Linked DNA regions of Caenorhabditis elegans. The protein of the gene in region 1 purifies or fractionates together with the protein of each later gene. This does not show direct contact. Each region holds a gene or a part of one and is shown in the gene's direction. Other genes may lie near its edges.

Evidence for each region.
Region 2: the proteins of egl-27 (region 1) and wdr-5.1 purify together in Caenorhabditis elegans (affinity purification with western blotting, with the first as the bait; one study listed by BioGRID). This does not show direct contact.

The regions. Positions count from the first base shown.
Region 1 is NC_003280.10:6,832,827-6,838,089, forward strand, and holds the start of egl-27 (Egg-laying defective protein 27), read left to right. Parts: upstream 1-2,194; 5' UTR 2,195-2,254; coding exon 2,255-2,339; intron 2,340-2,628; coding exon 2,629-2,747; intron 2,748-2,760; exon of another isoform or gene 2,761-2,867; intron 2,868-3,800; coding exon 3,801-3,941; intron 3,942-5,025; coding exon 5,026-5,151; intron 5,152-5,200; coding exon 5,201-5,263. UniProt on the Caenorhabditis elegans protein: Transcription factor which promotes stress survival and delays aging. Required for cell cycle progression and development of the mesodermal and endodermal embryonic lineages.
Region 2 is NC_003281.10:3,703,192-3,707,284, forward strand, and holds wdr-5.1 (WD repeat-containing protein wdr-5.1), read left to right. Parts: upstream 1-2,093; 5' UTR 2,094-2,095; coding exon 2,096-2,209; intron 2,210-2,272; coding exon 2,273-2,530; intron 2,531-2,576; coding exon 2,577-3,234; intron 3,235-3,285; coding exon 3,286-3,386; 3' UTR 3,387-3,593; downstream 3,594-4,093. Other genes in the region: C14B1.3 (F-box domain-containing protein), read left to right, coding at 465-529, 581-848, 897-1,024, 1,072-1,765; dph-1 (2-(3-amino-3-carboxypropyl)histidine synthase subunit 1), read left to right, coding at 3,696-3,776. UniProt on the Caenorhabditis elegans protein: Contributes to histone modification. May position the N-terminus of histone H3 for efficient trimethylation at 'Lys-4'. Required for di- and trimethylation, particularly for the trimethylation at 'Lys-4' of histone H3.

The DNA.
Region 1 (5,263 bases):
TCTTTTACCGCTCCCGGGGTCCTCCTCAATTCATCCGCTCCTCGAGACGAAGACGTCGACACAATCGGTGTTTATTTTTGCGACGTAGGGCAATTTTACTCGCAAACATATGAGAGGGGAGGCGCCGACGACACCCGGGCGGGCGGCCTGACGAGAGGTTTAGATAGCGGGGGAAATAGAGAAGTTGGAATGAAGCGGCTGCTATTGCTGCCACCGCACGGCAAGAAGCGGACACAATTCAACCCGAAGATATTTTTTATGTGCACCTAGATGAACTCTTTTTGCAAAACCTCTCAATTAGTAGACCTTTGAAACTCAACAACGTTTGGACGAACCTAACTTGACACCGCCGCCTTTTTCTCTAATCTTATCTGATGAAACAGAACATCTGATGTTATCACAATCAATCAAATCTTATTCATCTCTACGAATTCGTAAATGTTTTCACTTACATATAAATTGGAAGAAAAACGGATTATCGTTCCAGAGATCAAAAAATGATGTGCCTCCCCTTTTTTGCAATTAATCCTCAACTCGTATTTCTCTTTGTATGTCTTGAAAATTGAAATTTAGACAGTTTAGTTGTTATCACGTCAGTTTTGTGTATTCCACTTGAACTATCTATCTGGTTGGTTAGTCTCCTCCCACCCATGAGTCTTTCATTTATGTTTGTCTAGCCTGACAATTGACCTGACCACCAACCATCAGGTCTCTCCCACGTTTTGTATTTTTATTATGCACATTACGAACTGTGTGAAAATGGCTGTCGTATCATAATAAATTTTGGAAAAAGAAAACATCTGAAATGTTGCCAGTTCTTTGATTCTCAAAATGTTCAAATGATATTCATAAGACTCTCATCTTGTTTGCCATATTGTCATTAGCAGGTCATCCTCTTCTATTCAATTCTGGCTAATCCCCCGTTCCCCCTTTCTCTTATAATTCATCGTTCCTCACTGTTTGGTTGAATGAAAGAGCACAACAACACTTGTAATGAGTTATTTCATATTTTGAAAAAGTTGCCACGTCATGGAAAGCCAAGACACAGTGGCGGTCTGCTTTGAGGTCGTCACTGTCACCGTCGAACTGTTTTTGATCGCAAACATACATCGGTTGTCTCGTCTCTCGGGTTGTCTCTCTCTACCTCTCTCTCTCTCTTTTCCTTCGGTGACTACCTCTCCTCCCTTCCCGCCACACCGTCCTCCCCCTTCCACCGACTATTCCACCTTTTTGTGGTATGTACTAGCACTATTCTCTGCGTCTGTTTTACAGTTCTCATTCTCTCACACACACTTATTTTTCCCCAATTCTTATGGTAGTTGAATGTGAGTACAGTGTCCACTAGGATCTAGACTTCAGGACTCATTCTGAAAGTTGAGCCGAGGTCACGTGTGAAAACTGAGCTCTTTTCCTACACCTTGCCCCTTCTTGACAATTGTCGTTCTTCCTCTTTCTTATCATCACTTGACTTTTTTGAGCGACATGCTGGACAAGACAAGTCGTTTAATGGATGATGTTGCGATTTACTATCATCTGTTAGTATGCGCTAAGTAGGTGCGAACGTATGACGAGTTACAGTAATTTATTAAGCTTGAAGGTTTTTGAAGGATTTTATGAAGTTTGATCAAGTTCTTGAGTTAAGTAAACATTTTCTCTTGTGATCTTAATTGATTGTGAAAATAGTGAACAATTCAAGTTCTTGAAAAGATTTGATTTGTGTAAGTTAGAAAATGTGTGTTACCAATTACTGTTGTATTTGACTTCTAATGGATCTTCCGAGTCAATCAGATTCCTTGGCGCTCGGTGGTCCTGCTCCTGCTGCTAAATACACCAAAATATTTGATGAATGCGGTGCGACGGCGATGCCGCCAATGTCTCTTTTCCTAACGGACCAGTCGTGTATGTGCTCTGTGTATGTGCCCCACTAACCGACGACGACGACCCTCGCCCGCCCCACGCCACTCCCACACCCCACCCCGTCTTCATCCCTTTCCTCTCTCCCGTCTTCCTTTCTTCTATCCCTCGGTGCTGTTCTAGTTTGTGTTTTTACTAGGCTCTAGAGGGTTCCGGAGGGAAAGAAAAAAGAACTTCTGTGCTTTTCATCACCATCTTCCTCTCTCATCTCATCTTTTCATTTTTTATCCAGCTGATTTTCGTGTGTTCTCAATGATTCAAATTAAGACCAATTCTTTAGGATAGTTCATCATTTTTGGGGGAGCAAACTGGAAAAACTAAAAAAGGCAACAAGACAAAGATGAGCCGCTTTGACAGCCAGTGCAGTAGTGAAGACGTCAACAAAGAGGACGAATGTGTGCCGTCGTCATCTGAGGATAGCCAAGGTAATGAAATTGTAACTGAACCGTCTCTGTGTCTTCTTGTATGTCATGTCAACCTAGATACGGGTATTCCCAGTGGGGGCCGTTCTTTTAGAAAGATGGCCCCATCTTCACCAGCGTAAAATGTTATGATTCTCGCTGCGGATTAGCGCTTAGCGGATTAGTCGAACAAATGTACGAACACATAAGAAGACACATGCGGCAATTCTTTTTTGTAACTTTTGATTGTGTGATCTAGATTCTAAAGACCGCCTACTTGAAATAATTTAAAATATAAATTATCAAATTTCAGACGGCGTTTCTTCCCCAATGGAAAACGATGACGAACCAGAATTTTCCCAAAAGCATTACGATATTGAACCATGTTATTATAGTCTTACAGGCAAATCGGATAGGAATTGCCGTGGAATAGTAAGTCATTTTTTAATTCAAAAATCTGAAATTTGAGTAATTTCCTGTACTCTTTAATAGTTATAATCTGAATAGACATCTTATGTATGCGTATCTTCTTCCCCTTCAATATCTCAACACTCGAAAAACCAATTAATTGTCGTTCTGTCGAGTTTTTGGAAGAGACACAGACATTTAGGCAGTTTAGTGTGTAGGGGAGGTCAAAAGGAAGAGGAGACGCTGGTCATAATTCAAATTCTCTCCCGATTAGACGAACATCGCTACAAATAGACAAAAACCTGGATTTCAATCTTTTTTCACCCGTTTTTTCTGCGAAACGTTTTGATGGCTAAACCTCAAACATTGCGCTTACACACACACACATTGCGAGCTTCAAATCGAGAAGAACCAGATAGTCAAACACTGAGAAGATCGCGAGCCGAAAAAAAAACCGAAGTGACCTCTCTTCTCGTTTCGTCAAAAATTGAAAATTGAACTTTGACTAGATTAGTTGTCAGTCGGCAGCATACTTCCTCGAATTGTGCGCATGTTTTCCAAAAAAAAGCGAAGCGAGGCAAAAACAGCTGCCCAATTTTTGATCTGAAATTCGAGACAATTGCTTTTTTCTGGCTGGCAAGGAAAGCAAAGTCAACAGAAGTTTTCGGAGACCCCAGAGAGATGCTTCTTCCCTCAAGAGAGTACAAACAAAAGAGACGCTTGAGAGTTAAAAAGATAGATACTATGCGACAATAGACACACAAACACAAAAAAACATTTTTTGCCGCATTATATGATTTGTTTGTTTGTTTTGAAATGTGCGCTCATAATATTTCATTCTCTCACAGTTTAGTGTTAGTTGGCATTGACCTAGTGTGAGACGAGGTGCCAATTGACAACTGAAGCTAATGAGAGGAGAGACGCAGACGACAAGTACAAGTGAACACTAGTTCATTTCACCTCAAAGATACAGAGAAACCGGAAAGATAAATAAGACAGACTAGTTTCTAATATAATATCGTTAGTTGAAAGTTTGAAACATACAAATCTACTGATTTACTAAACATATTTTTTCAGGTATACCGGTATCGACAAGACAGTGATCTAAAAGGGTTTCAATCACATGATGGCACATTGTACAGGCTACGAGATTCAGTATTCGTAGAAGTGTCACAAAACGAGCCGTATGTGATAGCGGCAATATGCGGATTTAAATATGTGAGTAATGAGATCGTGAGGCATGTCAGCAGATGGTTCTGCCATATTAAGGTTTTTGAAATAATTGTTTCTTGGAAACTTGTTCCTCAAAAATCAGAACCACAATAGATCAAATCGTTCCACAGTGTTACAATGAAATATTTATATAATGGGCAACACTCAGTGAATGTAGCGATAAGATAACAAATTCGGCATTTAAAAATTAATGTTGCGAGAAACCGGGTGATGTTTGACAATTTCGAAATAAATTGATAGAAAAGGGGGTTTAAGGACAAATTGAACTTTTTGGAAAATGAAAAATGAGGTTTTCTTTTTGAAACTAGAGATTCTTTGATACTTTATAATCTCTGCTGACCTCTTCTCAAATTCCAAACAACTATCAATTTACTTGTTCTCTATATCTCTTCATTCCCTTGTTCCTTGAACTACTGGTTTAGAGGAGGAGAGAACCGCACTTGTGTAAATATTGACACAGTTTTAGTGGGTTCATGTATTCCCTTCATGTTTTCCTTTCGACTGATAGCACTGAATACTTTTTTAAACATAAAAGTATAAGGAAGATGTCATTGAGTCATTTGCCCACTTGTTCGTCCTTCAGAACCCACTAAAAACCGTGTCATAATCGGATTGCGCGGGAAGTCGTTGAGAATTAGAGAATGCATTGAAAGTGAAAAAACATAAACTTTTTAATTCAAACACTTTTATAGTATCATCACAAAAACATACATTTTAGTATACACAATAAAAGTAGAAAGTTTGCTCACTTTTATGAGCTGTGAGAAGAACATAATGTTCCTCTTTGTTGTTGACAAAGCACATTCACGTGACCAACTGATGAGCTTATTTTAGAATTTAAATAGGAAATTGGGATAACTAGTTTTTAAAGCCAAAATTCTAAGAGCAACAAAATTACAATATTTTCTAGTTTTGACAACGCAGGGATAATTTTTCTTCTGGATTTTCAAAGCCGAAAACTGAGTTTATCAAAAAAGGTAAATTCCTTTGACAGGGCTACACATAGTATTCAAAAAATGATAAGAGATTATATATTTTTCAAAACAAAATAAAGAATACCAATTTTCAGACAAAACGAGATCACGTGGTAGTGAAACTTACGAGGTACTTCAGAGCAGACGATATACCTGAGATATCTTTAAATTTAATGAAACAAGAACGAGCTGAGCTTGAAATCAATCCACATTTATGTCCAGTTAGTTTAATTTTTAAGATTTTCAGAATTACTCACATTTATTTTTCAGCAATCATTAAATCGAGAATTATTTAATTCGGAATTACAAATTACACAACCAGTTTCATGTTTA
Region 2 (4,093 bases), on another chromosome or scaffold:
ACACAAATCTGAAGAACATGAATTGCTTGACCTTGGTATTGGCGGCGATAACCTAGAAAGTGGGACAAGTTATTTCTTGCTGTCCACGTATCTTTGGATAAGGAAGATCATCAATGTTTCGTAACCTGTAAAACTAAGAGAAGAGAAAGACAAATATATATCAACTAATCTAAAAAGTTGCAGTCAGCAAGATGAGGAAAAAAATAAAATATATAAAGAAGTTGAATATCTAGAGGTTCTCAATATTTTTGTCAGAAAGTTTTTTTCTCATTCTCAAAATAGCATTGAATATTTTCTTATTAATATTTTTGCTTTAAAATAATAATATTAACAGCGTGATAGTTTTTTGGAACACGAATATCACATGCATGCGCATTTCGCAAGACTTCCATTCTCTGCGTCTCTCTCCTTCTGACTCATTTCTTCTCTTTAAAATCGAAAAATATTGTTCTCATCGACCCCAAATGTTTAAAGCGTTCTCATCGATAATGCAAAGTCTACAGTTCAAAACCGATGTTCCAGTGATAATGTGAGTTTTTTCTTAATTAAAATATCAATTTTTCACCTAGAATTATTTCAGAGATGCAGAAACTGTGCCGAACGAATGTTTCTCGCCAATTTTCCGAAGGCTGGACAAAAAATCACTTCTAAACTGCCAATTGGCTTGCCATCGATTCAATGATTTGATATCAAGTGACTCGTTTTGGATTGAATATGCTCGAATTTTAAATATATCAAATGTTCTTCCATCTTTGGAGTGGAGAAGAGCAGCGACACAGAAGAAGTTTGTTGGAAATGAAGACAATGAAATTGACACTTCAAGTTTTAATTTTAATATTAAAAAAATAGTAGGTTATCGCATTTTATAGTAATAAAATTACAAAGTTTTACTTCAGGTTCTGTCTGGAAGAGGCTACTCACCAATCACTCCGCTTTTCATTTCTCATTTTGAAAATGCACGTGACAACACAATAAGTGGAACTCTCCGTTCAGATGATTTTTCAATCAGAGCGAATGGCAGTGGGTATGTCAATACTTTGTTCTTAAAATAATCAATATTTACAATTTCAGAATCCACATGGAAAGAGATGGAGGAAACGGTTGTGAACCACATCCGGATGTTTCCAAGTGCTTCGTATTTTCATTCACAGAGAGCTCAATCAGTGTTTTCATCGATTTGGTGAACTCTGGAATTGACCCATGGATCTTGGATCACGTTCGCCCGAGAATTAGAATTACACAGAAAGTCAATCATCGTAATGATTGTGCAGCCAGGCTCTCATTTGCTGCTCAGTTGAACTATCACGAGACTCAGTGGATTGAAAGATTTGGCCATGTACAAACTATGAGCAACACTGATCATAAAAGATATAAATCTGTAAATAAGGAATGGGCTCAATGGACTGGTCAACCTTGGGAAGATTGGACAATTGAGTTTGACGATTACCCGTCTGGAATTCGACATTTAACTATTCTGAATGAAGGTGAAGATAGACAATTTTGGAGAGGATTCTACGGACCAAAAGTTGCCAATATTCAAGTCGAAGTTATTCTGCCTGATGAGCCAATAGTTAAACCACTCGCTGTTGATTCCGAAAAATGCAATGAAGACGAGAATCCTAACGCTGAAGACGAGGATGATGACGATGATGAAGTACCGCCAAGAGTCGGAGTTTTTAGAATGCCACTCTTTCGTCGTGGTCGTCACATGTATGGAATTCCTCCCGCTGTGGCTCGTCATGAAGATGAAGACGAGGAAGATTAAATAATGCACCGACAATTTTTCGCTTAACTGTTTTATAAAGTGTTTGTATGACTGGAAAAGTTTGTTATATCTGTAATCGAATGAATATATAAATATTTTAACACGTATCAGACACGGATACATGTCATGACATGAGTTCATTAACGAAAAAAAAGAAATTCCGAAAAAAAAACTGCAAAAACATTGCGCGTCAAATTGTGTGTTCGCTGTGCATGCACCCTTGCCTCTGCGTACCGCACATTGCATCTTACGACGATTTCTATTTTATATTTTTTGAATGAATTTCTTCATTTTTCAACTTAATTTTTGATTTTTGCTGTGATTTCAGATATGGATACCAGCGAAAATGCTGCTTCAGCTGCCGAGCAACAGCCAACACAACAAATCGATCAATTAACAGTACCAAATGCTCCGGATGGAGGTTCTTCAGCTCCTGCTCCATCTGTAGGTTTCGTTATTGTTAAATAGTATATTTTTGAATAAGACTTCACAATAGTCAATTTCCAGACTTCTCCCAATTCAATTTCGCCATCAAATCCGACTGGCACACCCGCTCCAGGTGCCAGTGCCCAAACTCCCAATCCAAACGCCGCCGGAGCTTCAGCCTCGGGTTCAGCAAATTATAAGCTGATGTGTACATTGGAAGGACACACAAAATCGATTTCTTCAGCTAAATTTTCCCCATGTGGAAAGTATCTCGGAACAAGCAGCGCGGACAAAACCGTCAAAATCTGGAACATGGATCACATGATTTGTGAGCGAACTGTATGTTTCCGCTCATGAAAATTACAATTAATCCTTAAATTTTCAGCTCACCGGCCACAAACTGGGTGTAAACGATATAGCATGGAGTTCCGACAGCCGTTGTGTTGTCTCTGCTTCCGACGACAAAACACTGAAAATCTTCGAAATTGTAACGTCGAGAATGACCAAAACCTTGAAAGGACACAATAACTACGTCTTCTGCTGCAATTTCAACCCACAATCATCGCTCGTTGTCTCCGGATCATTCGATGAATCCGTTCGTATCTGGGATGTCAAGACAGGAATGTGCATAAAAACCCTCCCAGCACACTCAGATCCAGTGTCAGCAGTGTCTTTCAACAGAGACGGCAGCCTCATCGCATCGGGATCCTACGATGGTCTAGTTCGTATCTGGGACACTGCCAATGGGCAATGCATCAAGACTCTGGTCGACGACGAGAATCCTCCGGTGGCATTTGTAAAGTTCTCTCCAAACGGAAAATACATCCTCGCATCGAACCTCGACAGCACTTTGAAATTGTGGGATTTCTCGAAAGGAAAAACCCTGAAACAATACACTGGACACGAGAATAGCAAATATTGCATCTTCGCCAACTTCTCTGTTACCGGTGGAAAATGGATCATCAGTGGTTCCGAAGATTGTAAGATCTACATCTGGAATCTCCAGACTCGGGAAATAGTTCAATGTCTTGAAGGACACACACGTAAGTCGAAAAATAAAATAAAAATGCAAATTTAAATTTTTTCCATTTCAGAACCCGTGCTAGCCTCCGATTGTCATCCAGTTCAGAACATCATTGCCTCAGGAGCTCTCGAGCCAGACAACAAGATTCATATATGGCGCTCGGATGTTTAAATTGTTTAAATTTAATTAAAATTTCGAAAATTTGATTTATATTTACCCCTTGGTCACCGTGTATATATGCTTTTCCTTCTTGATCTCCTATATTCCTTGATTATAGAGGCGCGGTGGCCAGACACTTTTTTTTCTGAAACTTCGTATTTTCTGTCATTCCTTATATATTCTTCCTAATATAAAAATCCATAAATATTAATTTCCGTGGGATGATTGAGATGATCATTCAATTGATTCGTTTTATTTCGATATTCTATTTGATTTTCAGATTTAATTTTATTTTTCTGGATTGAGGCTGAAAATTTTAGAATGGCAACTCGGGCTACACAGATTTCGACGCTAGTTGAGGAAATTGCAAATAATCCCAATCTTAAAGAAGATCTGAAAATTGTAAGAAATCGCAGATTTTCTAAGTAAACGCCCCACCCCTGAACTATGGGTCTCTTTAGGTTAAGAAACCGAAAATCGAATTTTTCAATTATTCTTGCCCGATTTCAAAGCATTTTCAATTGGTTTTAATGATTTGATGTCAAAAAATAAATTTTTTCATAAATCTCGGCATAAAAATCATTAAAAACAACGAAAAATGCTTGAAAATCGGGGAAACTAACTGAAAACTTTTGAACATCCAGTTTTGCCGCCAAAAACCTAACGAGACCCATCGTTAGCCCGTTTCCACGTGGATTTCAAAAGGGTTTTTTTTCTGC